3 linked regions of the Callithrix jacchus genome follow. The protein of the gene in region 3 interacts with the protein of the main gene of each other region in a pairwise test. Links are inferred from orthologs where the notes say so. Each region holds a gene or a part of one and is shown on either strand. Other genes may lie near its edges.

Region 1 (9,735 bases), on a different chromosome or scaffold from region 3:
ATAAAGTAGACTTTGGGGCAAATAAAATTACCAGAGACAGACATAAAATAATTATAAACATGCTGGCTCACCAAAAAGACATAGCAATCCTACATGAGCATACATCAAATAACAGAACTGCAAAATATGTGAAGCAAAAACTAATAGTACTGCAAAGGCAAATAAACAAAATTAGTTATAATTAGAGACTTCAACCCCCCTCTCAACAATTGACAAAAGAAAAAAATCAGAATGAATACAAAAGAACTCAGTACCACCAACAACCAATATGATCTAGTTGACATTTTACTGGATATACCAGTATACTGGATATACCATGTTGGTATACAATGATATACCAACAACAGAATACACATTCTTTTTATTTGCTCACAGAACATGTATCTAAATAGACCATATCCTGGGCAATAAAAGAAACCTCTAGAAATGTAAAAGAATTGAAATCATATAGTGTGTTTTCTGACCACAATGAAATCAAACTAGAAGTCAACAATAGAAAGATAAGAGTAAAACTCCAAATATTTAAAAACTAAACAACATACTTCTAAATTCTGCAAGGACTAAAGAATAAAAATTTAAAATACCAAAATTTACAGAACAGCTAGAGAGAGCAATGTTGAGAGGGAAATTTATAGCCTTAAATATTTACATGAGAAAGAAGTCTCAAATCAATAATCTAATATCTCAGGTGGAAAACCCAAAACAAGTAAAATAAACCCAAAACAAGCAGAAGGAATGAAATCATAAAAAGAACATTAAAAAGTAAAAATAAAAAATGAAAAATAAATTTTAAAAGAACTAAAATAAAGGAAATTGAAAACAAAACAATTAGAATAAGAAAAAAAACCATAAAACAATGAAACGAAGAGTTGGTTCTTTAAAGAGAGAAGACACAAACTATCAACATAAAACAGGGATCATTACTATAGACCCTGCGGATATCAGAAGAATAAGGAAGTACTACAAACAATTCTATACATATAAATCTGACAATGTAGAAGAGTCCAATACCACAAAAAGCACAAACTACCAAAATGTACTTAATATAAAATACATCATTTGAATACCCTTTTAACTATTAAAGAAATTGAATTCATAATTTTAAAAATTCCAAAAGAGAAATCTCCAGGCACAGATGACTTCATTGGCAAAATCCATTAAACATCTAAAGAATGAACAGCAATTCTACACAATCTCTTCTACAAAATAGAACACTTCAGTATTCATTTTATGAAGTTATTATTATCGATAATAAAACCAGATAAAAACTGCAGTACAGAAAACCAAAACTAGAGACCAATATTCATGAATATAGATGCAAAATTTTCTCCCAAAAGATTAGCAAATATAATTCAGCAATATCTAAAAAGAATTTTATACCATGACCAAGTGGGGTTTATGCCACAGAGGCAAGGCTGGCTCAAAATTTGAAAATCAACCAATGTAACTCACCATTTTCTTTTTTCCAGTAAGAAAAATCATGTGATCATATCAATCTATCCAGAAAAAAGCATTAGAAGTCAGTATATTCCTGAGAAAAGAACTCAGAAAAAAAGAAGTCAACATCCATTTATGGTAAAAATTCTCAAAAAAAAAAAAAAAGAAAAAAGAAAAAGAAATAGAGCGGTAATTCTTCAACTTGATAAAGAATATCTAAAAACCTGGTCAACCTTATTCTTTTTGATGCAATACTAAATATATTCTCTCTAATACCAAAAATAAGGTAAGAAAGTCTGCTTTCATAGTGTTGGAAATTCTAGCCAGTGCAATAAGGCAAAGGGGGAAAAAAGGCATAAAGATTAGGAAAAAAAAAAACCTCCCCTTCTTTGCAGATAACATTACTCTCTCTATATAGAAAATTCTAAGGAAGCTACAAAAACATTCCTGTAAGTACAGTTCAACAAAGTCATAGGATATAGGAGAAACATATAAAAATCAATTATATTTCTATATACTAGGGACACTGAAATTAAAAATATCACTTACGGCCAGGTGTGGTGGCTCAGGCCTGTAACCCAGCACTTTGGGAAGCCAAGGCACTCAGACCAAAAGGTCAGGAGTTCAAGACCAGCCTGGCCAACATGGTAAAACCCTGTCTCTACTAAAAATACAAAAATTAGCTGGGTGTGGTGGTGTATGCCTATAATCCCAGCTACCCAGGAGGCTGAGGCAGGAGAATCACTTGAACCCGGGAGGCAGAGGTTGCAGTGAGCAGAACCCACACCATTGCACTCAAGCCTGAGCAACAGAGAAAGACTCCTCTCAGAGAAATTTATATATCACTCACAATCACTCAAAAAAGTGAAATAATTAGGTACAAATCTAACAAAACACATACAGCATTTGCATGCTGAAGACTACACAATGCTGATGAAAGAAAACAAAGATGTGGCTGGGTGCGGTACCTCATGCTTACAATGCCAGCACTCTGGGAGTCTGAAGCAGGAGGATTTCGAGTTAGAGAACAGCCTGGGCAACATGGAAAGACCCCATCTCTACAAAAAATAAAGTAAAAAAATTAGCTTGGTGTAGTGGCATGCACCTGTGGTCCCAGCTACTTGAGAGGCTGAGGTGAGAAGATTGCTTAAGCCCATGAGACTGAAGCTATGCCATGAGCCATGTTCACGCCACTGCACTCCAACCTGGGTGACAGAACAAGATTCTACCTCAAAAAAAAAAAAAAAAAAAATCAGAGATTTTAAACAAATGGAGAAATATGTTGCGTTAAAAGACTGGAAGGTGTTAATCCTTCTCAAATTGACATATGGGTTTATTAAAATTCCTATTTGTGGATATAGACAAAATTATTCTAACATTTGAATTAAAAAGCAAAAGAACTAGAGTGGTCAAAACAATTCTGGAAAAAGCAAAGTAGGACAAATCACTCTACCTGATTTTAAGACTTAATGTAGAGCTACAGGTATTGGTGGAGGGATAGCTGCACAGATGAGTGAAACAAAATAGGAAAAGAAATGAACTATGACCTAAACCTTATACTGAAATTAACTAGAAAATTAACCTTATGTAAAATATAAAGCTATAAAAATTTTAGGAAAAATAGCATAAAATCAGGATCTATGGCTAGACAAAGAAATCTTATCAGCAAAAGCTCAACTGATAAAAGGAAAAACTGATATACTGGAATTCATCAAAATAAAATACTCTGCTCCATAAAAGCCCATATGAAGAAGGTGAAAAGACAAGCCACAGAGTGGCAAAAAATATCTGCAAACCACATACCTGACAACGGACTAGTATCTAGAATATATAGAGAACTCTCAAACCTCTACAGTAAAGAAGAACAAACAATCCAATCAGAAAATGGGGCAAAAGTCATTGATATTTCACTAAAGAGGATATAAGAGTGAGAAATAAGCATATGAGAAAATCCTTGACATTATTAACAACTGAGGAAATGACAATTAAAACAACAATGAGATATTACTACATATTTATTAGAATGGCTAAAACAAAAAATAGTCAAAACATCAAACGCTCTTGAAGACATAGAGAAACTGAACCACTCAAACACTGCTAGTGGGAATGTAAATGGTACAACTACCCTGGAAAACATTTTAGCAGTTTCTTTAAAAAAAACTAAACATGCAACTACTATATGACCTACAGCTGCATCCCTGGGCATTTACTCCTTAAAAAATAAGAACTGACGTATCCAAGACTGAGTAATCTATAAGAAAAAATTAATTAATTAATTAATTTTAAAAAAATTAAAACTGTCAGCTGGGTGCAGTGGCTCGTGCCTGTAATCCCAGCCTGTTGGGAGGGGGAGGCAGGCGGATTGCCTGAGCTCAGGAGTTCAAGGCTAGCCTGGGCAACACAGTGAAACCCCATCTCTACTAATATACAAAAAAAAAAAATCAGCCAGGTGTGGCAGCATGTGCCTGTAGTCCAGCTACTTGGGAGGCTGAGGTAGAAAAATTGCAAGAACGTGGGAAGTGGAGGTTGCAGTGAGCCCAGATCGCACCACTGCACTCCAGCCTGGGCAACAGAGCAAGACTCCATCTCAAAAAAATAAATAAATAAATGTTAAAAAAAATTTTTTTAAATAAAAACTGTGTTCACACAAAAACCTACACCCAAATGTTTATAGCAGCTTTACTGACAATAGGACAAAACTGGAAACAATCTAGACATCCTACAAGTGACTAAACAAACTGAGGAATAGTACACACATTGGACTATTCAACAGTAAAAAGGAGCAAGCTACTGGCACCTACAACAACCTAAGTGAAGCTCCAGAGAACCATATTAAGTAAGAAAAGCCAATCCCAAAGAGTCACATACTGTGTGATGCCATTTTTACACTTTTGAAATGATGAAATAAATAGAAATGAAAAACAGCACCAGGCACAGTGGCTCACACCTGTAATCCCAGCACTTGGGAGGCCAAGGCGGGTGGATCATGAGGTCAGGAAATCGAGACCATCCTGGTCATGGTGAAACCCCATTTCTCCTAAATACAAAAAATTAGCCGGGCACGGTGGCATGCGCCTGTAGTCCCAGCTACTCAGGAGGCTGAGGCAGGGGAATGGCTTGAATCCGGTAGACGGAGGTTGCAGTGAGCCAAGATCGTGCCAGTGCACTCCAGCCTGGCAAAAGAGCAAGACTTAGTCTCAAAAAAAAATAAAAATAAAAACAGCTTAAAGTGTTCTTGCAGTTAAGGAAGAGGTTGGTAGGAGAGAGTGAGTTTGGCAGCATGAAGTGTTCCTTTGGTGATGGGAATATTCTTCCGCTTGACTGGACTGATGTCAGTATTCTGGTTGTGGTGTAGCAGGACAGTTTCACAAGATGTTACTGTTAGGGGACACTGGTGAAGGGCATCATGCTGGACCTCTCCCTGCTATTTCTTACAATACTGTGTGAATCTACAATTACAAAGTTATAATTTTAATGGTCTAACCCTCTCTTAAAGCTAAATAAAGCAATTGTGAGATTTATTGCTATGGTTTGAAAATGCTACATGAGAAGACCCTTGCACAGTTGAGTTTGACTGACTTGGTAGAGATGACTGGAGAGTAGGAGTACGCACATACATCTTGGTCCCATATTTCATTTATTCATTTACAACTTAAACCCAAACTACTTCCCTAAGAGGACAAGTGTTTCTACCTTGGCACCATATAAATCCGAGTTCTTCATCAGAAACTCTGCTGATGTCCGCACTGTGACTCCGGTTGTCTCACACTGCAGCACACAGTTTTCCAGCGTAGTCTTTCCACGGTGAACAACTGTGATGAAAATACACACTGACTGCTTTAAGATGTAATGTGCCTTTTCCAGTATTAGAGATAGCCTGATGCTTACATTAGATGTGGACTAAATATTTCTCAAAATCTACCATTTAAATTTTCTTACCTAAATTACAAATTCATAAAATATAAAATGATGATGATTTTTAGTTACTTTCTACAATCTAGAAGCAACATTCTTTAAAAAGAATGACTTGAGCTCAGATACAAAAAGACTTTTCATTACTAGAAAAAAAAAGTATCAGAGAACAATTTTGCTGAGTATCTCAGAAGAAAAAGACCTTGAATCAAGAAACGGGATACAAAGATTCCAGTAAACAAACACTACTGCCATGTGGAGATAACTTCAATCTAGTGCTACCCTGAATACAGAGAACACAGACCACAACACTGGAAAGTTTTAAAAAAAAAGTCACTGCACAGAAAAGAAACTAACATTAACAAATTATCATGAATAGGTTTAGTTTTCACTTCAAGGTTAAGTTTGCTAAGTCGTCACACTATGCACATAAACAAATAATTTTTTGGGCCATGCATGGTGGCTCACACCTGTAATCCCAGCACTTTGGGGAGGCCAAGGCGGGCAGATCACCCAAGATCAGAAGTTCAAGACCAACCTTGCCAATGTGGTAAAACCCTGTCTCTACTAAAAATACAAAAATTAGCCATGCGTGATGGCAGGAGCTTGTGATCCCAGCTAGTGGGGAGGCTGAGGCAGGAGAATAGCTTGAACCAGGGAGGCAGAGGTTGCAGTGAGCTGAGATCACACCACTGTACTCCAACCTGGGCAATAGACCAAGACTCTGTCTCAAAAAATTAATAATTTGTGTTTATACTGATGAGCATGTGCATTTATACTAATGAGTAGCATGTTTCTAATGTGTCTATTAAGTGTACAAAAAGCATTATGTTCTTTTAAAATGTGTACATCTTAATTTAAAATACTTTATTTTGCTAAAACATGCCAACACTCCTCTAAGCCTTCAGCAAGACATCATCTTTTTGCTGGTGGAGGGTCTTATCTTGATGGCTGCTGACTGATCAGAATGGTGTTTGCTGAAGGGTAAGGTGGCTGTGACAATTTTTAAAAGTAAGACAACAATGAAGTTTGCCACATTGACTCTTCCTTTCATGAAAAGACTTCTTTGTAGCATGTGATCTTGTTTGATAGCACTTTACCCACAGTAGACAGTTGTTCAAAATTGTAGTCAATCCCATCAAAGTCTATCTCTGCTTTACCAAGTTTACATAATATTCTAAATCCTTTGTTGTCATTCCACCATGTTCACAGCATCCTCCCCAGGAGATTCCATCTCAAGAAACTACCTTCTTCGCTCATCCATAAGAAGCAACTCCTCAACTGTTCCAATTTTTGTAAGATCGTAGCAATTCAGTCACGTCTTGAGGCTCTACTTGGTATCATCAGGCTCTTGCTATTTCCACCACATCTGCAGTTACTTCCTCCATTCAAGTCTTGAACCCCTCAATCATCCATGAGGGCCGGAATCAATTTCTCCAGAACTCCTGTTAATGTTGATATTTTCACCTCCTCCCATGAATCAAATGTTCTTAATGACATCTAGAATGATGAATCCCTCCCAAAAAGTTTTCAATTGACTTTGCCGACCCATCGGAGGAATCACTATCAATAGCTGCTATAGCCTTATGAAGTATATTTCTTATGTAGTAAGGTTTGAAAGTCGAAGTTACTCCTTGATCCATGGGCTGCAGAATAGATGTTATTAGCAGGCATGAAAACAACATTAATCTCCTGATACACCTCTATCATAGCTCTCAGATGGCCAGATACATTGTCAATAAGCAATCATATTTTTAAAGGAATCTTTTTGTTTTCAGTAGTAAGTCTCAATAATGGGCCTAAAATATTCAGCAAACCATGTTATAAACAGATGTGCTACCATTCAGGCTTTGTTGTTCCATTTCTAAGGCACCGGCAGAGTAGATCTGGCATAATTCTCAAAGGCTCTAGGATTTTCCAAATGGTAAATGAGCGCTGGCTTCAACTTAAAGTCACCAGTTACATTCATTCCTAACAAGAGAGTCAGTCTGTCCTTTGAAGTTGTGAAGCCAAGCACTGACTTCTCTCTAGCTATGAAAAGTACTAGATGGCATCTTCTTCCAATAGAAAGTTATTTCATCTAAATTGAAAATGTGTTGCTTAGTGTATCCTCCTTCATCAATTACCTTAGCTAGATCTTCTGTAACTTACTATAGCTTTTTCATCAGCACTTGCTGCTTCACCTTGTGCTTTTATGTTATAGAGATGGCTTCTTTCCTTAAACCTCATGAACCAACCTCTACTATCTCCAAACTCTTCCTCTACAGCTTCCTCACCTCTCTCAGCCTTCACAGAATTGAAGAAGTTAGGGTTCTGCTCTGGAATAGGCTTTGATTTAAGGAATGTGGTAACTGATTTGATCTTCTATCCAGGCTACAGAAACTTTCTCCATATCAGCAATAAGGCTGTTTCACTTTCTTATCATTAGTATGTTCACTAGAATAGTGCTTTTAATTTCCTCTATGAACTTTTCATTCACATTCTTAACTTGGCCAACTGACACAAGAGACCTAGGTTTTAGCCTGTCTCAGTTTTCAACGTACCTTCCTCACTAAGTTAAACATTTCTAGTTTTTTAATTTAATGTGAGAGACAGGTGACTCTTCCTTTCACGTGAACACATAGATGTCATTGCAGGTGTATTAGCCTGTCTAATTTCAATATTGCTGTGTCTCAAGGAATAGAGTGGTCCAAACAGAAGGAGATAGGGGAATGGCTGATTGGCGGAACAGTCAGAACCCACACAATTATCAGTTAAATTCACCATCTTATATGGATGTAGTTCATGGCACCCCAAAACAATTACAGCAGTAACATCAAAGATCACTGGGCACAGATCAGCATATCATCTGTAATTTTTTTAAAAGGCTTTCAATACTGTGAGAGTTACCAAGATCTGACACAGAGACACAAGGTGAGCATATGCTATTGGGAAAATGGTCCCAACAGACTGGCTGGAAACAGGGTTGCCACAACCTTCAATTTGTATAAAACTCAGTATCTGTGAAGTGCAACAAAACAAGGTATATCTGTACTCGAGTGGCATTTCATTAAATTCTATCTTCCATAGAGAGTACAGTTTTCCTTCAAAGCTTAGAAGAAACAATACATCAAACATTCAGATACTTACTTAAGATCCCCTCTACCGCATTGTGCTGAACAAATTTTATGCCTGAGATTTTAATATCAGCACCCGTGCAGTCCACAAAAGTGTCACCTTTGCCCCTCTCTTCTATCACAATGTCATCTGGTAGCCCATATCCTAAGAAAGAAAGAACAAGAACACTTAAGATGGGTGAGGAAAAACATCTAAATAAGAACACTCTAGAACAGGTTTCTTGAGTTCAAATGACTGCAGATGATGAGACCAGTCAACCATGTTGTATTTAAATAAAATCTCTCCCTACATATTCTGTTTGATTTAAACCATGGTATCCAATTTTTAACAATCACCACTCTCTGACTAGTCCCCATATCAAGATGACTACCCTATCAACTATCTCACATCAGCTCAGCACTAAATTCACTTACAAAACTGCTGTAAAAAATAAATAATGTTCAAGACCAGCCTAGGCAACACAGTGAGACTCCATCTCTACAAAAACTAAAAAAAAATTAGTCAGGTGTGGTTGCATGTACCAATTACTCACTACTCAAGGAGGCTAAAGTGGGAGGGTCACTTGATCCCAAAATGTTAAGGCTGCAGTAAGCTATGAGCATGCCATTACACTCCAGCCTTTACTCTGGGTGACAGAATGAGACCTGGTCTCGAATGAATGAATCAATGAATGGACTTACAGTTGAGTCAAAGAACTTGAAAGCATTCACCCTTAGAAGTTTGCTTCTAACATTCTATGATTCTAATATAAATTACATTTGAATAAACCTAAGCAGTTCTCAAGATGATCTAATTTTAATATTCTCTTAAACAGTTGGCTTTAAATCTGACAAACTGACTACTTACTAGAAAAAAACAGTCTACCTCATTAACAAATAAAAAGCATCAGATAGAGGCTTGGCATAGTGGCTCACACCTGTAATCCCAGCACTTTGGGAAGCCGATGCAAGTGGATCACTTGAGGTCAGGAGTTCGAGAGCACCCTGGACAACATGGTGAAACCTCGCCTCTACTAAAAATACAAAAATTAGCTGGGTGTGGTGCATGCCTGTAAACCCAGCTTCTCAGGAGGCTGAGGCAGGAGAACTGCTTGAACCTGGGAGGCAGAGATTGCAGTGAGCTGAGATTGTGCCAATGCACTCCATTCTGAGTGAGAGTGAGACTCCATCTCAGAAAAAAAAAAAAAAGCATCAGATCTCGGTCAGGCACAGTGACTCACGCCTATGATCCCAGAAATTTAGGAGGCCAATGTGGATGGATCACTTGAGG
Region 2 (10,476 bases), on a different chromosome or scaffold from region 3:
TAAGTTAGAGAAGAGAAAATGTTGTTAAGAAAATCACAGCTGGCATGGTGGCACGTGCCTGTACTCCCAGCTCCCTGGGAGGCTGACGTGGGAGGATCACTGAAGGCCAAGGAGGTAGAGGCTATCATGCCCTGATAGAGCCCCCGCACTCCAGTCTGGGCAGCAGAGTGAAAACCTGTCTCAAAAAAGATAATAAAAAAGAAAGCCACAAGGAAAATACATTTACAGTTACAGAACGCTACAATATCTATCAATGCCATACATTTGTTTATGAGATGAATTATCTCTCTGAAATGGATAACTGAAGCTGCAGAGCTCAATTTTTGTTACATATCAAGCAATTACCCCCTTTCTTGTACTGTACAACTTTTCTCTGCTTCTTGGGAGCACTTCCAACAACACTAGTGGCACTTCACATGGGTCTGGTGATGTTATTCAGTATCTATGGTATTGCGCTAAACCCAGTGAAAAATCCACAGGAACAAGAGATCCCTTTTCCCTGGGGCACTATTTCCTGGAGAGGCGAACTGCCCACAGGGAGATCATTAGTGTAACATGACGTTTTTTTTTTTTTTTTTGAGACGGAGTTTCGCTCTTGTTACCCAGGCTGCAGTGCAATGGTGCGATCTCGGCTCACCGCAATCTCCGCCTCCTGGGTTCAGGCAATTCTCCTGCCTCAGCCTCCCGAGCAGCTGGGATTACAGGCACGCGTCACTGTTCCCAGCTAATTTTTTGTAATTTTAGTAGAGACGGGGTTTCACCATGTTGATCAGGATGGTCTCGATCTCTTGACCTCGTGATCCACCCGCCTCGGCCTCCCAAAGTGCTGGGATTATAGGCTTGAACCACCGCGCCCGGCCCATAACATGACATTTTAAGCGGATACTTGCAACGCTTGCACTCACTCCAGCAGCAGGAGGTGGCCGTGAAATTATAACAGTAACACAATACAGCCGCAGTTAATTTTATGCAGTTATGAGTGAATGGTGCATGTTTAGATTTATTTACATTTCTCTTAACTTCAAATAACACCATGCATGGTTTGTTAGTGTGTGTGTATGTTTTAATACACTTAAAAATAATAGATTTATGTATATTTTATGCTGGTAAATGATAAAATAGGGATGGACATGGTGGCTTATGGCTGTAATCGCAGCACTTTGAGAGGCAGAGGCAGGAGGATCGCTTGAATTTAGGAGTTTGAGACCAGCATGGGCAACATGGTGAGACCTCGTCTCTACAAAAAGTAAAAAAAAAAAAAAAAAAAAAAAAAAATTAGCTGGGGGTGTTGGTGCTTGCCTGTAGTTCCAGCTACTTAGGAGGCTGAGGCAGGAGGATGACTTGAGTCCAGGGGTTGGAGGTTACAGTGAGCTGTGATTGGGCCACTGCTCTCCAGCCTAGGCAACAGAGCAAGACCCTGTCACTAAAAGAAAATAATAAGCCAGGTGCAGAGGCTTGTGCCTGTAACCCCAGCACTTCGGCAGGCTGAGGTGGGCAGATCATGAGGTCAGGAGATGGAGACCATGCTGGCCAACATGGTGAAACACTGTCTCTACTAAAAATACAAAAATTAGCTGGGCATGGTGGCGCATGCCTGTAATCCCAGCTATTAGGGAGGCTGAGGCAGGAGGATCACTTGAACTGGGGGGGTGAAGGTTGCACCACTGCACTCCAGCCTGGTGACAGAGTGAGACTTTGTCCCCCCAAAATAAAATAAAATAATAAAACATATCTACATATGTTTTATGCACTCGTGACATACCTAACTTAATTTTTTTGGATATTTCTTGGTCACCAAGTTCATCTGCAAGAATTCTCAAATTGCTGCAGATCTCTAAAACTGTTTCCAATATATTTATTGAAAAACATTCTGCTTAAAAGATGACCTCACTTTGGGAGGCTGAGGTGGGCAGATCACCTGATGTCAGGAGTTTGAGACCAGCCTGGCCAACATGGTGAAACCCTGTCTCTACTAAAAATACAAAAATTAACCAGATGTGGTGGTGTGTGCCTGTAGTCCCAGATACTTGGGAAGCTGAGGCAGGAGAATCACTTGAACCTGGGAGGTGGAAAGTACAGTGAGCCGAGATAGCTCCACTGCATTCTAGCCTGGACAACAGAGCAAGACTTTGCCAAAAAAAAAAAAACAACAAAAAAAAACCTGCACTGTTCAAACTCATGGTTCAAGGCTCCACTGCAGTTCTTACCCATGGCTTCACTTTCTCCTCATTCTTTCTTTTTTTTTTTTTTGAAACTGAATCTCTTCCTGTTGCCCAGGCTGGAGTGCAGTGGCACAATCTCAGCTCACTGCAACCTCCACCTCCCAGGTTCAAATGATTCTCCTACCTCAGCTTCCCAAGTTGGGATTACAGGTGCATGCAACCAAGCCTGGCTAATTTTTTGTATTTTTTGCAGAGATGGGGGGTCTCAAACTCCTGACCTTCATGATCCACCTGCCTCAGCCTCCCAAGGTGCCAGGATTACAGGCGTGAGCCACCACGCCCAGCGTCTCCTCTTTCTTTTCTACAGCTACAGTGAGTGACTGGTTCAGTTGTAAGAATGTCTTGCTCACCCTCCTCTGGGCCTATCCTCATGCCTTTCCCTCGACCTGAAACACTTCTCCATGGCTTCCCTAGGCTGGCTCCTCTTCATTTTCAGACTTAAGCTGAAAACCACATCCTCAGTCAGGTGCGGTGGCTCACATGCCTGTACTCCTAGCATTTGAGGAGGCTGAGGAGGGTGGATCTCTTGAGGTCAGGAGTTCAAGACCAGTCTGTCCAATATGGTAAAATGCTGTCTTTACCAAAAATACAAAAATTACCTGGGCATGGTGGCGGGCACCTGTAATCCCAACTACTCAGGAGGCTGAGGCAGGAGAATTGCTTGAACCCCGGGGGACGGAGGTTGTGGTGAGCCAAGATCGCACCACTGAAGTTAGCTTAGGGGACAGAGCGTGATTTTTCAAAATCCAACCAACCAACAAACAAAAGCCGCCCTCAGTGGATCCCTCTCTATGCCCCTCCTATTCCCCTCAACTCATCACACGCTCAATTATTTTAAGGGCTCTCTCCTAAGCTCAGTTGTGAACTTCGTAAAGAAATGGATCATGCTGATTTTGCTCACTGAAAAATCCCATATTACTTATTGCTTGTTGATTCTCCCACTCAACAAATATTTATTAAGCAACAGCTATGCCAGGCACTGAGTTTAATCAGTGAAATGAGACTTTAAAGATTTCTGCCTTCATGGGAGAGGAGAAAACACAGAACACATTGAATAAGAATGTCAAGGCCAATCAAAGTGACGCATGTCTGTAATCCTAGCACCTTGGGAGGCCAAAGCAGGAGGACTGCTTGGCCAGGAGTTCAAGGCTCCAGTCAGCTAGGATTGCACCACTGCATTCCAGCCTGGGTGACAGCAAGATTCTGGAAAAAAGAAAGAAAGGAAGAAAGAACGAAAGAAAGAAAGAAAGGACAAGGAAGGAAGGAAAGGGAAGGAAGAAAAGAGAAGAAAATAATTTCAGGCAGAGAGGTAAGCATGCTATGAAAATGAGAGAGAAGGGGCCAGGTGCAGGGGCTCAGACCTGTAATCCCAGCATGTTGGGAGGCCAAGGCGGGTGAATCAACTGAGGTCAGGAGTTCAAGACCAGCCTGGCCAACATGGTGAAACCCCGTCTCTACTAAAGATACAAAAATTAGTTGGGTGCAGTGGTGGGCACCTGTAATCCCAGCTACTTGGGAGGCTGAGGCAGGAGAATCACTTGAACCCAGGAGGCAGAGGTTGCAGTGAACCGAGATCATGTCATTGCACTCCAGCCTGGGCAACAGAGCAAGACTCCTTCTCAAAAAAAAAAAAAAAAAAAAAAAAAAGAAAAAAAAGAAAAGAAAGAAAGAAAGAAAAAAGAAAAAAAAAAAAAAAAGAAGGGAACAGGGAACTGGGGGGAGGATTTCCAAAATGTGGTAGGGATGAGTCCTTGGAGCAGCGATGAAGCCAGAAGTTTGGCCTTTTGCAAGAAGAGTGGGCCCAGCTCTGAACAAACTATTTCTTTAATAATGGAAGAACGGTCCAGGCGCCGTGGCTCATGCCTGTAATCCTAGCACTTCGGGAGACCGAGGTGGGCAGATCACAAGGCCAGGGGATTGAGACCGTCCTGGTCAACATGGTGAAATCCGGTCTCTACTAAAAATACAAAAATTAGCTGGGCGTGGTGGTATATGCCTGGTGGTCCCAGCTACTTGAGAGGCTAAGGCGGGAGAATTGCTTGAACCCAGGAGGCGGGGGTTGCAGTGAGCAGAGATCAAGCCGCTGCGCTCCAGCCTGGTCGATAGAGCAAGACTCAAATAAAATAAAAATAAAAATAAAGAGAATGAATGCCTTGGGTCTACGGTTGTGCTGTGTGCATTCTTAAGTTTTCTCCCTCGGGTACCTTCCCAGATCTGGTGTACAGGTATTATCAAACCCATCACTGAAGCAAGACTGGCCCGGACATAGTGAAGTAGCTGGTCCAAGACTACACAGGAGTGAGGGGTGGAGGAACCCTTTTCCCACTGAGTTCTGGCTTTCCTACACTGAAAGCCCCTTCCTCTCCTTCAGTATGGTGGGTGGAACCGCTGTCCCGCCTTGTTCGTGACTGACATTGCTAGACGTTCAGACACACACAGGCTGGTCTGCTGATAATCAGACATGTCCACCCTCTATTCGAGGTCTCCTGCATCGTCTTTCCCCTTTCAGAAGCTTCTGCACATTTTCCCAGGTGTCTTTCTCCAACTTGAACACAGGGAGCGCACTGGACACGCAGGCACGTGGCTGTCCCCAGGGGCCTGACTTGGGTCTTGCCTCTGGGTGGGGGCGCACGCGCGGGAGGGACATCTGGGAGCGTCCACCCGCTCTGGGACGAGTGTGTCTGGCCAGGCCTGGATGAGGGAAAGGCGGTGAGTGAACAACTACTCGCCTGAGGTGCAAAATTTAATCCCCCACAAATACACCACACATACAAAACAAAAAACAAAAACAAACAAAAAACCGAACCCACCTCGAGTCACCAACGTAAATATTTTAATGCAGTATTTTAAAATTATTAACAGAAATCCTCCAAAGCCCCACTCCGAACAAAAGAGCAAAATGGTAGAGAAAGGATTTATGTCGCTGGGTCAGGCCTGTGGGGCGCCTTTGGGGGCGTCTGAGGCTGGAGGAGACTCGGGCGGTGTAGAGCGCGCGGATCTGGGGCGGCCCCTCGGTCCAGGCGCGCCCAGGGCCTCCAGCGAGGGGCCCGGCTCGGGGAGGCGGGGAGGCGGGGCGGGGCCGGGCGCCACCTCCCTCCCCGGCCCCCCGCTTTCCCTCCCTTTCCCGGGCCTCTCCCGGGCGCACAGTCCCTTCCCAGGCCAGATCCGCGCCGCCTTTTCCCTCGGCCCGCAAGGGGCCCAGCTGACGGGTCGCCTTGTTTACGGCCCGAGCAGCCCTCACTCCCGCCGCCCGCCACCAGCCACTCGCCCGCCCAGGTGCCCGCCCGCCCTGCAGCGGGTCCCTCGGTCCGCGAGTCCCTCTGTCCCGGAGCCCGCCGATCGCGACCCAGAGTGCGCGGGGCCGAAAGCCAGGAGACAGTCCCGGGCGCAGCGCAGAGCTCCGGGCCTCGAGATCGTGGGACGGGGCCCGGCCCGCAGCGGCCGGGGGGTCGGGGCAGCTACCGCGGGGCCTCCCAGCTCTCTTTGTAGCGGGCGAGGCCGCGCGCGCGCCCTTCCCGGGGCTGCCTCTAGGACCCCAGATCTCGGGCAGGGGCGCTGCGGCCCGCGGATCGCCCGCGTGGAAGAGAAGGACACGCGGCCCCCAGCGCCTCTCGGGCGGCCGCCTTGCGGCATGACCCCCGCGGGTCCGCACCGCGCGTTCTGATCCGAGGAGACCCTGAGCTCCCCGCAGCCATGGGAGCCGGGAGCCGCCGGGGGGCGGCGGCCGCGCCGCTGCTGGTGGCGGTGGCCGCGCTGCTCTTGGGCGCCGCGGGCCAAATGTACCCTGGAGAGGGTGAGTCTGGGGGCGCAGGAGTGGGCGGGGAGCAAGGCGATGGGGAGAGGACCCCCCCAACCCGAGACAAAAGAGAGCCCTCCTCCCCCCACCCCGCTGGTGGACTGAGACCCCTTCCGAGGACGGGGGGCTGGGGTCGGTGGCTCGGGCGGTCGCTTCTGCTCCGCGTGCGGGGCGGGAAGCCGCTGACCTTGGCCTTTGCCCGCCCGGACTCGTGCCTCCGCGCCCCGCGTGCCCGACCTGAGCCCGAGGAACCTTGCCCCAGTGCCCGCCCCGCCGCGGGCGCCTCTCCGGATCGCCCCTGCGACCAGAGCCCCGGTCTCTCCGAGGCCAAGTCGCTCTGGAGACAACACACGCGTCCTCTCTGGGTGGCGGCTGCGAAGTGGGGTCACTCGGTCTGGGCAGCTCCGGACAGCCCATCCCCGGAGCGCATAAGGTGTAGATGGAGCCAAGTGCCCTGAGTGCCTCACTGGTGGGAGACGCTGCCTGGGGTCGGGGATTGTAGAACCCGCCCCCAGCTCCATCCCGATATCTTGGATCTAGGCCAGTGGCCACCCCGGACTCTAGGTCCATGGTTTCCCTTTTGGGTTCTGTTTCCAGATGTCCCGAGGCACATTCTAAAGCCTTAGAAACAGCAGCAATTGTGGCAGAAGTAGTGGCGTGTTTTTTTTTTTTTTTTTTTTGGCCATGTTTATTGTAATTGGTGTCACCACAGGCCACACGCTGGTCTATCTTATCTCTCTGGACTGTCACAGTGGCCCCGGGAAGCGGTTACAGTTATGCACCCATTTTACAGAGGAGTGAACTGAGGCTCAGGTAAAACGCATAGCTCCCTTGCCCTAAAGTCAGTGCCAGAGCCAGGACCTGAATCTCTCTGCTCCCTGTTCTGCCCAAGAATCTGGACTACTGTCCTTCACCTGCTGTTTCCTTAACGCCTCCTCTCCCCTCAGCTCTGCCCTTCATGAAAGAGCCTTTCATTCCCCCTGACCCCCACCGGCTCTCCCACGTGGGAGCAGCATCTTCCTTGAAGACGCCTTTGCGGTTGTAGAATGAAGATGGAGTAATCATTTAAGAGAATATAGCCTGGGTTTCCCACTGTAGGGTCTGAGACCCTGCTTTAAAAATATTTGTTGTGTCACTGTTGCAGATTTCTCCATAAAAGGAAATCAGTGGTGATGAGGAAGGGGTCGGAGAGGGAAGGAACTGAAGCTCCTTAATGTATTGAGGGAGAACGGGGTAGATGTGAAATCAGAGGTGCTGGAGTGGACCAACCGGGTTTGCGGAGTTGACTCTATCAATTACATAATGTCTAAAAGCCCCACCACCACCACCCCAGGGCCTGGCAGACAGCAGGTGCTCAATGAAGGGTGGCAGTTAGTTTGGGTTCTTGTTAAGAAAATCCAAGAAGAGTGGTTTAGAACTATGCCAGGCCAGGCATGGTGGCTCGTGCCTGTAATCCCAGCACTTTGGGAGACCGAGGCAGGCAGATCATGAGGTCAGGAAATCAAGACCATCCTGGCCTACATGGTGAAATCCTATCTCTACTGAAAATACAAAAATTATCTGGGCATGGTGACGCGCACCTGTAATCCCAGCTACTCTGGAGGCTGAGGCAGGAGAATCAGCCTGGGAGTTGGAGGTTACAGTGAGCCAACATTGCGCCACTACACTCCTGCCTGGGCAACAGAGTCTCCGTCTCAGAAAAAAAAAAAAAAGAACTATGCCAAATTCTGTGTGTGCCTATGTGTGGTTCCTTGCTCTTCTGTTCCTTGCAGCTTTGGTGATGAATTGTGGATCTGTGCCTGCGCTTTCAGGATCAGTAAATGGATTTGCCATTTATTTGCACAGTTATGGCTTCCTTATGGGCAGGGGTTTACGGTTTGCTGTTGTTGTCAGTGTTCACTTCTGCATTTCGAGAGCCCAGAACAGTGCCTGGCACATAGTAGGTGTTTGGCAAATATTTGGAGCCCAGGTGGTGGAATCCCTGGGTGTACTGGGTGCCTTTATTCGTAAGGAGTTCCTCATTCTCTGCTTAATACCTTTCTAAGAATTATAAGAGCAAGGCCTCAGCAGGTGCTGTTCTGTGTGCTTTGCATATATAATCTCAGTTAATCCTCACCACAAAACCCCACGAGGTGCAGTTTAATCGTCTCTTTTCACAAGTGAGAAAACTCCACTTGGGGCCAGCAGGCAGCAGGGCTGGCATTACAATCTAGCTAGCGTGGCTGCAGAGCAATGGTTTTTTTTTTTTTTTTTTTTTTTTTTTTTTTTTTTTTTAACAGATCCTTGTTCTTTTGAGTGTGAGCCTCCATACCTCCCATGCTTGGGGTAATGGTGAACAAAATCCTATCAAATAAACGGGCGTGACGCCTCTTGAAGGCTTGGAGAGGGGCAAAGAACTTTTCAGATCATTAATCTCTAATGTCAACCAATAAGACTTTTTTTTTTTTTTTTTTTTTTTTTAAAGGGAGTCTCACTCTGTTGCCCAGGTTGGAGGGCAGTGGCGTGATGTCACCTCACTGCAACCTCCACCTTCCATGTTTAAGAGATTCTCCTGCCTCATCCTCCGGAGTACAGGCAAGCACCACCACACTTGGCTAATTTTTTGTATTTTTAGTAGAGATGGGGTTTCACCATGTTAGGCAGGATGGTCTTGATCTCCTGACCTTGTGATCTGCCCACCTCAGCCTCCCAAAGTACTGGGATTATAGGCATGAGCCACCATGCCCAGCATTTTTTTTTGAGACAGGGTCTCACTGTCACCCTGGTTAGAGTGCAGTGACAAGATCTTTGCTCATTGCAACTTCCAATTTTCAGATTCAAGTGAGTCTCCTGCCTCACGCTCCTGAGTAGCTGGGATTACAGGGTGTATCACCACCCCTGGCGAATTTTTGTATTTTTAGTAGAGATGAGGTTTTGCCACATTGGCTAGGCTGGTCTCAAACTTCTGATCTCAAGTGATCTGCCTGCCTTGGCCTCCCAAAGCGCTGGGATTACAGGCATGAACCACCAATCCCGGCTCTAATATGGCATTTTGATTGGCATGAAGGGTGGAGGAAAATCAGTGTGATTTTTGTCTCTATTGGTCTAGCTATCTATTTGTTTTACTGTATTTATTTTTTGAGATGGGGTCTTGCTCTGTTGCTTAGGCTGCAATGCAGCCACAGTCGGGCAGTGACGGCTCACTACAGCCTCGACCTCCCTGTACTCAAGCCATCCTCTCACCTCAGCCTCCCTGGTAGCTGGGACCACAGTTGCATGCCACCATGCCCAGCTAGTTTTTAAAAATTATTATTAATTTGTAGAGATGAAGTCTTGCTATTTTGTCCAGGCTGGTCTCAGACTCCTGGCCTCAAATAATCCGTCTACCTCAGCCTCCCAAAGTGCTGGGATCACAGGCATGAGTCATGGTGCCTGGCCTCTGCAGTTATTCTTACCTTTTGCTTCTCTCCTGGAGACCTCCATCTTGCCCTTCCAGACTTATGCATAGAGGCCAGAGGGTGTGGGCTGGGTCCCCTGGGGTCCCCACCTCACCCCACTCCGTCCTTGATTTCCATTCTTCTGTGGTTCAAGCAGGGCTCTCAACCTGGGCACTGCTGACATTGGGGGTTGGATCATTCTTGGTGGTGGGGGCTGGCCTGTATGTAGAGTACTGAGCTGCAACCCGGGTCTTCACCCACTTGGTCCTGGTAGGATCCCCTCCCCACAGTCATGACACCACAGATGTCTCTAGACACTGCCAAGCACTGCACTGGAGGAGTTAACCTTTTCCCTGTCTGAGACATTTCCCCATCTGGGCTCTTGCTCTGTCTCCTCTCTTTGTTCAGGAATCTTTGGCTGCGCGCAATGGGTCACACCTATAATCCCAGCGCTTTGGGAGGCCAAGGCGGGCAGATCCCCTGAGGTCAGGAGTTGGAGACCAGCCTGACCAACATGGTGAAAACCTGTCTACTGAAAATACAAAAATTAGCTGGGCGTGGTGGCAGGCACCTGTAATCCCAGCTACTCAGGAGGCTGAGGCAGGAGAATCTCTTGAACCCAGGAGGAGGAAGTGGCAGTGAGCCGAGACTGAGCCACTACACTCCAGACTGGGTGACAGAGTGAGACTACATCTAAAAAAAAAAAAAATTTATTTACCCACATGCTTTTTCAACCTCTAACACCCAGTATCCCCCAATCCCCCTTACCCACCACTGACTTCCAGCCTCCACCCTGTCCAGCTTCCCTCTGTCAGCCCTCCCCGCCCTTGCCATCTCACTCTTTACCCACCGTTCAGCCCCCGGTGTCTGGCTTGCGTCTCCGCCACTTCACCAATGGCTCTCAGAGGTAATCTCTCATCTCTCAGTTTCGTCTCCTGCGGCCTCACCTCACTTGACCCCTCTGGGTTTGCCAATCCCTCCTCCTGGAAGGCTCTCTCCTGTCACGTTCTCACCTGCACCTGGGTTCTTTAGTTTTACTGTG
Region 3 (9,058 bases):
TAAGCCTGTGGAAAGGGGAGACTGGATAGTGCTTGGCTGTGAGCCATAGCTCTTTGGTGTGGTAGATGCCGCGCATAGAGAACAAGCTGTGACCAGCATGTCCTCTTGTTCACTTCTTGCCTGGTAGCTTCCTGATGTACCATCCAGGTTGGACTTTATTCCCTGATTTTCACCAGCTTTGCTCTTCCTCTTGACCCTGCTCTGCATCCATTGGGACCACTTCCTTCCCATCCCCACTTCGCTAGCTCCAGTCCACAGCTGTTGTAGCAGAGGATGCTAATGGCCCAGGCTCACTGTATGTGGTAGTGGTGCGGGGTGGCCTGGGCTCGAGAATGGGGGAATTCTAGTGTTCAACCAGGACAGGAAGGGAAATGCTGAGCTCTGAGATCTCCTCCCTTTTCCACCCCCAGTTGCCTCCGTTTCCTCCCTCATTCCTCTCTACTCTCGCCTGGCTTCCTGGCCCCTTTGGTCTGCCTGTGTCCGGTTTCCAGTGACCCGCACCTCCTCTTATCTCCCTCCTTTCCGTCTTATTTCTCCATCCTCTCCTCCCACCCCCCACTTTACTCCTCCCCAGATTACTAGTTGTTTGTATAGGGCTGGGGAGAGTTCGAGGTTGGGGCAGGGTGGGGCTCAGCCCCTCTGAGCCTGTGAGTCAGCACTGTCCTCCGGATTGGTCTCTCTCCTTAGCTCCCCGCCCCCAGGGAGGAGCCAGGCAGCTCTGGGTCCAGCCTGTTCTCTTCTCAGCCAGAGAAGAGGCTCCACGTTGGGCGGGGATGGGGCCTGAAACTGTCTGGGTCTGAGCTGGGGAGCGGAACCCACTTGTCCCTCTCCCTCCCCAGGACTTCTGTGACTCCTGGGCCACAGAGGTCCGACCAGGCTAAGGGCCTGGGGATACCCTCTGCCTGGCCCCCTTGCCCAAACTGGCAGGGGGGCCAGGCCGGGCAGCAGCCCCTTTCTCACCTCAGCTATGGATCTCCTGCCCCCTAAGCCCAAGTACAATCCACTCCGGAATGAGTCTCTGTCATCGCTGGAGGAGGGGGCTTCAGGGTCCACCCCCCCGGAGGAGCTGCCTTCCCCATCAGCCTCATCCCTGGGACCCATCCTGCCTCCTCTGCCTGGGGACGATAGTCCCACTACCCTGTGCTCCTTCTTCCCGCGGATGAGCAACCTGAGGCTCGCCAATCCGGCTGGGGGGCGCCCCGGGCCTAAGGGGGAGCCAGGAAGGGCAGCCGATGATGGGGAGGGGATCGTAGGGGCAGCCATGCCAGACTCAGGCCCCCTACCCCTCCTCCAGGACATGAACAAGCTGAGTGGAGGCGGCGGGCGCAGGACTCGGGTGGAAGGGGGCCAGCTGGGGGGCGAGGAGTGGACCCGCCACGGGAGCTTTGTCAATAAGCCCACACGGGGCTGGCTGCATCCCAACGACAAAGTCATGGGACCCGGGGTTTGCTACTTGGTTCGGGTGAGTGAACATTCTCTCTTCCACTCCCTCCCAGCCCCCGCCCCCCCCCCCCCCCCAGTTCTGCTCACTCCAGCTTGGCTGGAATCTCTTTTCTCCTGCTGTTCTACAACCCCGTTTCAGTGTCCTATTTCCTAAACCTTTCCCATCCCTTCCCTGATTCTGTAGTCCCTTCCCTTCCAGCTCTGCCTGAGCCCCCTTCCTTCTTTTGACTCCCCCACCCCCACCTCTACCCTGCCATGCTTAGCACAATGCCCAGCATGGCAGAAGCTCTTAGTAAGTGTTGGAATGAGTGACTTATTGATCCTCCCCTCCATTCTCCTCCTGCTTTCTGGAGTTGTCACTCCATCCCAGCCAATGCCTGTCGGTCCCCTCCAAACTCTCTCCCCAGTGCGAGGTCCTTCTTTCTAGCCTGCCTTTCTTTCTCTCCTCATTCCCTGTTGTCTTTCACCTTGATTGTGGGATGTAGCCACGGGAAGTGGGCAGAACCTCTCCATCTCTACTTCCCTTAAGGACCATGTGGGCAAAGTCCTAGGGCCCTTTGTGAAGGGGCTGGGGTGGGGGAGCTGCTGACCTGCTGTCCTCCCCTCCTTCCGCTTAGTACATGGGCTGTGTGGAGGTCCTGCAGTCAATGCGTGCCCTGGACTTCAACACCCGGACTCAGGTCACCAGGTTAGTGGGGAGGGAGTGGATTGGGGGAGTCCCGGGGTTAGTGAGGCCACAGGAAAGGGAGGAGGGGAGTGGTCACTTGAGTGCTGCTGGTGGGGGCTGATCTTTGGGTAGTGGAGGGGATTGAGAGAAAGCTGGTGGTAATTCTGTATCTTACTGAAAGGAGGCCCCTCTGGCCTGGATCCTCCTTACCTATCCATCCTTGGGAGTTGTGGGGAAGGTGGCAGAAGCAGCTGGCAGGTAGAGCTGGAGTAGAAAATGGGGGTAGATGGAAGGTTGCTGCTGCCTTTGGGAAGGGAATGGGACATTTGGTAGCTGGAAGTGGGTGGGTCTGTACCCATTGAGGCCCTAACCCAATCAGCCAGGAAGCGGCCTCTCAGTGTCATCAAATATTAAAGGCCCTTAATTCAATCCACCACGACAAAGAGCCTGGAGTGCCCTGGGAGTCTGGCCTGGCTTTCCCCTCCCCCAGCCCTGTGGCAGCCCCAGCTGAGTGGGAAGCAGGCAGGCACTGGGTCTGAGTACCCCTCTTTCCCCAGGGAGGCCATCAGTCTGGTGTGTGAGGCTGTGCCGGGTGCTAAGGGGGCGACAAGGAGGAGAAAGGTATCTGGGGTCCTTGGGGATAGGGATGCAGCTGGGAGATGTGAGGGGCAGGGGGAAGGCAAGTGTGGGGCATGTGGGGGAAGGCCAGAAGGCAAGAGTGTGGTTTGCCGGAGCTGGGAACCCTCACCTTCTGAGACCCTGGGCCCTACCTTAGCCCTGTAGCCGCCCGCTCAGCTCTATCCTGGGAAGGAGTAACCTGAAATTTGCTGGGATGCCAATCACTCTCACCATCTCCACCAGCAGCCTCAACCTCATGGCCGCAGACTGCAAGCAGGTTGGTGGAGTTGGGCAGGGGGACTAGAAACACTGGTGGGGGTGCTAAGGGGAGATCTAGTTAGGAGGCCAAAAACTAGGAAGAGGGCTTGAGAGCAAGAGACCAGTAGGGACGGAGGAAGTGAGGATATGGGATAAGGAACCCAGAGAATGAAACTGGGTGTGAGGGTTCTGGGCCCTGAGGCGCCTGACGCATGGCATTCCCTTCCTTCTTCATCCCCTGCCCTGATTCTCAGATCATCGCCAACCACCACATGCAATCTATCTCATTTGCATCCGGCGGGGATCCGGTGAGTTGGGGAACAGAGCAAAGGTGGCGGGAGAAGAGCAAGGGGCTAGGGATTGGGAAGACATTTATTAGAGAAGTGGGGGTGCTAGGATTGTGGGGATATCTGAAAAGGACGGGGTTTTAGGGGTTAGGAGTAAAGTGGAGCTGTAACATTTTCTGACCTTCCTCCCCAGGACACAGCCGAGTATGTCGCCTATGTTGCCAAAGACCCTGTGAATCAGAGAGGTGAGGCATGGTGGGGAGCACTGGGTGGGTCCGGCTGTTTGAGGAGATGAGCGGGACCTGGGGTCTGCACCCGCTTTTGCTAAGTAGAGCTAAGTAGGGGTTCCTGCTGAGGAAGATGAGGGCCCTGTCTATGCCTCCTCCCAGTGGGCTCAGCTCAATGACCGCCTCTGCTGTGCCCTCAGCCTGCCACATTCTGGAGTGTCCTGAAGGGCTTGCCCAGGATGTCATCAGCACCATTGGTCAGGCCTTCGAGTTGCGCTTCAAACAATACCTCAGGAACCCACCCAAACTGGTCACCCCCCATGACAGGTGAGCAGGTGGGGAGGATGTGCAGCAGCTCTTAAGCCCCAGAACAGGATTGGGAAAGGAGGGCTGCTCTTCCTACACTTGAGCTGAGAGGCTTAGGGAGGGAATAACCTGCGTGCCTCTGCTTCCCCCTTCCTGTGATTCTTCCATTTCCTGTGGCCCACAAGGAAAGACTCTTGAGGCCCTGCTTGCTGCAGGGCCAGCTTTTCCTCCTGTTGCTCATGGTGGAGCTGCAGTCTGAGGCATCCAAGTTACATCTCTCTCTCTGGCTAGATGAGATTTTTCTACTCCCATCCCTCTTGCTTGCCCATTTCTCTGACACTCTGTATTTTAATGCTTCCAGAAGCCATCAAGAATTTGGGTTTGTGAGGATATCTCTTTTCCCTGAGATTAGTGTTTCCCACCTCTGGCCGTGAGGGATAAGCAGTGGCGCCAGGAGGGACTGATTAGGAGAGGTTAAACTATTCTGTAGTGCCTTCTCCCCACCTCACTACATAATGCTTCCCTTCCTTGCTGGCAGATAGCACAGTGATCAAGGGCAAGAGCATTACTTTTTTATTTTGAGACAGAATCTTGCTGTGTTGCCCAAGCTGGAGTTCAGTGGTGTAATCACACAACTCACTGCAGCCTCCATATCCTGGGCTGAGTGATTCTCCCACCTCAGCCTCCTGAGTAGCTGGGACTACAGGTGCATGCCACCACACCTGGCTAAGTATTATTATTTTTTTGGTAGAGGCAGTCTCACTACGTTGCCCTGTCTGGTCTTGAACTCCTAGGCTCAAACAACCTCCCTCCTTGGCCTCCCAAAGTGTTGGGATTACAGGTATGAGCCATTGCACCTGCCCAAGGGCATAAGCTTTAAAGTCAAACCTGAATTTAAATCTGAGTCTGTCACCTTTTAGTTGTGAGACCTTGGGCAAATCTTTTCACCACTGATCCTCATTTGCCTCATCTGTAAAACTAGGAAAGAAAACAATACCTATCTTATGGGGTTGCCAGGAGAATGAAATGATTAGGTATATAACACACTCAGCCTCAGGCCTAACCCATAGTAAATACCGAATACATGGCTGCTGTTCCGTTCCCTCCTCCTGCCCACCACACATTTACGGCCACACCTTCACTGTCCTGTCTCTCAGGATGGCTGGCTTTGATGGCTCAGCTTGGGATGAGGAGGAGGAAGAGCCACCTGACCATCAGTACTATAATGACTTCCCGGGGAAGGAACCCCCTCTTGGGGGGGTAGTAGACATGAGGCTTCGGGAAGGAGCCACTCCGCCCACTGCCCAGACCCCCAGCCACTTGGGAGCTACACTGGTAAGTTGTTTGGATGGAGGCCTAGGGTGGGAGTGGCTGGTTAGGGCCTCTGGTTCCACCTTATTTTCATCCTTGCAGCCTATAGGACAGCCTGTTGGAGGAGATCCAGAAGTCCGCAAACAGATGCCACTTCCACCACCCTGTCCAGGTATGAAGGGAGCCGAGATGGGCAGAGCTGGGGAGTCCTGGAGGCAGGACCGGGATCACTGTACAGCCTCCCTTTCCTCAGCAGGCAGAGAGCTCTTTGATGATCCCTCCTACGTCAACGTCCAGAACCTAGACAAGGCCCGGCAAGCAGGGGGTGGTGCTGGGCCCCCCAATCCTGCCATCAATGGCAGTGCGCCCCGGGACCTATTTGACATGAGTGAGTGCTCCTCTCTCCTCTCTGCATCCCTATCTTCCTACTTGGTTCTGGCCCTTCCCCTGCCTATATCTGCTCTTTCCTTCCCTGAAGTCTGGGTCTTGGGTGTGTATTGTGCCTGCTACCTCCCCTCACCCTCTCTCTACACCTCCAGAGCCCTTTGAAGATGCTCTTCGGGTGCCTCCACCTCCCCAGTCGGTCACCATGGCTGAGCAGCTCCGAGGGGAGCCCTGGTTCCATGGGAAGCTGAGCCGGCGGGAGGCTGAGGCACTGCTGCAGCTCAACGGGGACTTCCTGGTGCGGGAGAGCACGACCACACCTGGCCAGTATGTGCTCACTGGCTTGCAGAGTGGGCAGCCCAAGCATCTGCTACTGGTGGACCCTGAGGGTGTGGTGAGTATGGCAGAGGTGAGGGTGAGGGGTGGCAGAAAGGAAGGTACAGTACCCTACAGTGCATTCTTGTTCCTTCCCCCATTGCTTTCTAGACATTTCCTGCTGGGCAGCTCTCTGTGGGCCTCTCTGCTCTTCAAGGTGTCTGGCATCTTCCTCCAGGGGCTTATCCCTTAGCCTGAACTGTGTCCTTTATAGTCCTGGCACAGGGCCAGGCATGGTGGCTCACGCCTATAATCCCAGCACTTTGGGAGGCCAAGGTGGGCAGATCACTTGAGGTTAGGAATTTGAGTCCAGCCTGGCCAACATGGTGAAACCCAGTCTCTAGTAAAAATATAAAGATTGGTCAGGCACAGTGGCTCACGCCTGTAATCCCAGCACTTTGGGAGGCTGAGGTGGGTGAATTACCTGAGGTCAGGAGTTTTGAGACCAGCCTGACCAATATGCTGAAACCCTGTCTCTACTAAAAATACAAAAACTAGCCGGGTGTGGTAGCCTGTACCTGTAGTCCCAGCTACTTGGGAGGCTGAGGCAGGAGAATCGCTTGAACCAGGGAGGTGTAGGTTGCAGTGAACTGAGGTGACACATTGAGGCTCTGTCTCAAAAAAAACAAAACAAAACAAAACAAAAACCTGTGTGTGGTGGCACACAGCTGTAATCTCAGCTACTCAGGAGGCTGAAGCAGGAGAATGGCTTGAACCGGGAGGTGGAGGTTGTAGTGAGCTGAGATCACACTGCTGCACTCCAGCCTAGACAACAGAGTGAGATTCTGCCTAAAAAAACAAAACAAAACAAAATAAATACAGCCCTGGCTCCTCCTCAAATCTCCAAGCCGTAAGCTTATCAGAGCTAGAAGGCAGTCATCTATATCATCTGTGCCCCTCTTTTGACAAATGAGGAGACCACTCTGAAGAGGTTGTGATGCCCAAACTCAGATGGTTAGAGGCTAGACACTGCAAGTTTCCTTTTGTAAGAAGACCCACGGGCTTCCCCAGCTCCCCAGACTCAGGACTCAGACCCTTGTGCTTCCCCTTACCTGTACTGCATTACTGTTCCTCCAGACTTCCGTTGTTTAGCCACGTGTGGTGGCTCCAGCCTGTAAGCCCAACATTTTGAGAGGCTGAGGTGGGAAGACAAGCCTGGGCAACATAGCGAGACCTGGTCTCTACAAAAGTAAAAAAATAAAAAATTAGTCAGGAATGGTGAAACATGCCTGTAGTTCTGGCTGCCCAGGAGGCCGAGGCCTTGAGGATCGCTTGAGCCCAGGGGTTCTAGGTTACAGTGAGCCATTATTGTGCCACTGCACTCTAGCCCGGCTGACAGAGACCCTGTCTGGAAACAAAAAACTTTTGTTTTCTACAGTAATCTCACCCTCCTTTCCTTTTTCTTTTTTTTTTTTGAGATAGGGTCTCACTTTGTCACCCAGGCTGGGGTGTGTTGGCACAATCACAGCTCACTGCTGCCTTTGCCTCCGGGGCTCAAACAATCCTCCCACCTCAGCCTCCCACCTCAGCCTCCCAGGTAGCTGGGACTACAGGCATGTACCACTATACCTTGCTAATTTTTTTTTTTTTTTTTTGTAGAGATGGGGTTTTGCCATGTTGCTCAGGATGTTCTTGAACTTCTGGGCTTAAGTGGTCCACCTGCTTTGGCCTCCCAGAGTGCTGGGATTACATGTGTGAGCCACCACTCCTGGCCTCCACATCTTTTTTTGCACTGTGTATACTCTTCTGAGACATGCCAACTTCCTCCAGGTCAAGAAAGGGGTATATAGGTCTCAGCTTCCCTGTTTCAGGGCTGATGCCTCCTTTGCCTTTTCCCACTTCACTGACCTGTCTATTCCTACAACTCTTTTTAGAGAAGCCTCAATGATCAGGACTGACAGGCCCCTCCCTCTCCCACCATTTTTTTCTCCTTTAAGCCTCTCACACTCTTCCACCTTGGAGGATGAGGTCTTGACTCTTCACCTGAATTGCCTACCTTCCTTCCCACCCTCCCAGGTTCGGACAAAGGATCACCGCTTTGAGAGTGTCAGTCACCTCATCAGCTACCACATGGACAATCACTTGCCCATCATCTCTGCGGGCAGCGAACTGTGTCTACAGCAACCTGTGGAGCGGAAACTGTGATCTGCCCCAGTGCTGTCTTCCAGAAGATGCCCTCCAGTCCCCTCCACCCTATTCCCTAACTCTCGGGACCTCATTTGGGAGTGTTCTGTGGTCTTGGCCTTGTGTCAGAGGTGGGAGTAGTGTGGACACTGGGTTTTGTATCCAGCTGAGTGAGAGGGTTTGAGTCAGAAGCCAGGGGGAGAATCCTACTTCTCCCCAAACATTAATCACCAAAGTATTAATGTACAGAGTGGCCCCTTACCTGGGCCTTTCCTGTGCCAACCTGATGCCCCTTCCCCAAGAAGGTGAGTGCTTGTCATAGAAAATGTCCTGTGGTGACAGGCCCAGTGGAATAGTCACCCTTCTGGGTAAGGGGGAACGAATCACACCTCTGGGCTTCAGGGTACCCCAGACTCCTCTCAACACCCCCCCACCCCCATGTTTAAATTTTGTGCCTTTGACCATCTCTTAGGTCTGAAGATATTTTATGCAAAGAGTTCTTGGGCCCCTGAGTTCAATGACAGGGATGCCAACACCTTCTTGGCTTCTGGGACCTGTCTTCTCCTTGCTCAGCATCCTCTCCGCTTTGGGCTGGGAGAACAGAGGCAGGAGTGGCAGCTGTCCCCTCTCCCTGGGGATATGCAACCCTTAGAGATTGCCCCAGAGCCCCCCTCCCGGCCAGGGGGGAGATGGACCCCTCCCTTGCTCAGTGCCTCCTGGCCGGGGCCCCTCACCCCAAGGGGTCTGTATATACATTTCATAAGGCCCGCCCTCCCATGTTGCATGCCTGTTGTACTCTACAGCCAAAGTGTAGCCCTTCCTCCTCGAGCCTGTGCCCTGCCTCCCCTTTGGAATGGGGGGGTGGGGTGACGAATTTGGGCCCCTTGTACACGTAACTCTCCCAGGTGGATTTTGTGGAGGTGAGAAAAGGGGCATTGAAACTCTAAAGCAGTAGACAATCCCCAAATACCATCTGTAGAGTTGGAACTGCATTCTTTAAAAATTTTGTATGCATATATTTTAGGGCTGTAGACTTACTTTCTTAATTGTTTTCCATG

What was found.
Region 1: the proteins of SHC1 (region 3) and SHCBP1 interact in a two-hybrid assay, tested with the Homo sapiens proteins (2 studies listed by BioGRID, with this or other methods). The link is inferred for Callithrix jacchus from reciprocal best matches to the Homo sapiens genes SHC1 and SHCBP1.
Region 2: the proteins of SHC1 (region 3) and INSR interact in a two-hybrid assay, tested with the Homo sapiens proteins (2 studies listed by BioGRID and IntAct). The link is inferred for Callithrix jacchus from reciprocal best matches to the Homo sapiens genes SHC1 and INSR.

What each region holds. Positions count from the first base shown.
Region 1 is NC_133521.1:3,956,014-3,965,748, forward strand, and holds part of SHCBP1 (SHC SH2 domain-binding protein 1), read right to left. Parts: intron 8,611-9,735; coding exon 8,479-8,610; intron 5,250-8,478; coding exon 5,131-5,249; intron 1-5,130. UniProt on the Homo sapiens protein: May play a role in signaling pathways governing cellular proliferation, cell growth and differentiation. May be a component of a novel signaling pathway downstream of Shc. Acts as a positive regulator of FGF signaling in neural progenitor cells.
Region 2 is NC_133523.1:6,879,028-6,889,503, reverse strand, and holds the start of INSR (insulin receptor), read left to right. Parts: upstream 1-5,426; 5' UTR 5,427-5,915; coding exon 5,916-6,015; intron 6,016-10,476. UniProt on the Homo sapiens protein: Receptor tyrosine kinase which mediates the pleiotropic actions of insulin.
Region 3 is NC_133519.1:15,377,497-15,386,554, reverse strand, and holds SHC1 (SHC-transforming protein 1), read left to right. Parts: upstream 1-746; 5' UTR 747-967; coding exon 968-1,462; intron 1,463-2,060; coding exon 2,061-2,131; intron 2,132-2,667; coding exon 2,668-2,731; intron 2,732-2,885; coding exon 2,886-3,005; intron 3,006-3,240; coding exon 3,241-3,294; intron 3,295-3,466; coding exon 3,467-3,518; intron 3,519-3,700; coding exon 3,701-3,827; intron 3,828-4,362; exon of another isoform or gene 4,363-4,963; coding exon 4,964-5,141; exon of another isoform or gene 5,142-5,219; coding exon 5,220-5,289; exon of another isoform or gene 5,290-5,370; coding exon of another isoform or gene 5,371-5,373; coding exon 5,374-5,505; exon of another isoform or gene 5,506-5,656; coding exon 5,657-6,069; downstream 6,070-9,058. UniProt on the Homo sapiens protein: Signaling adapter that couples activated growth factor receptors to signaling pathways. Participates in a signaling cascade initiated by activated KIT and KITLG/SCF.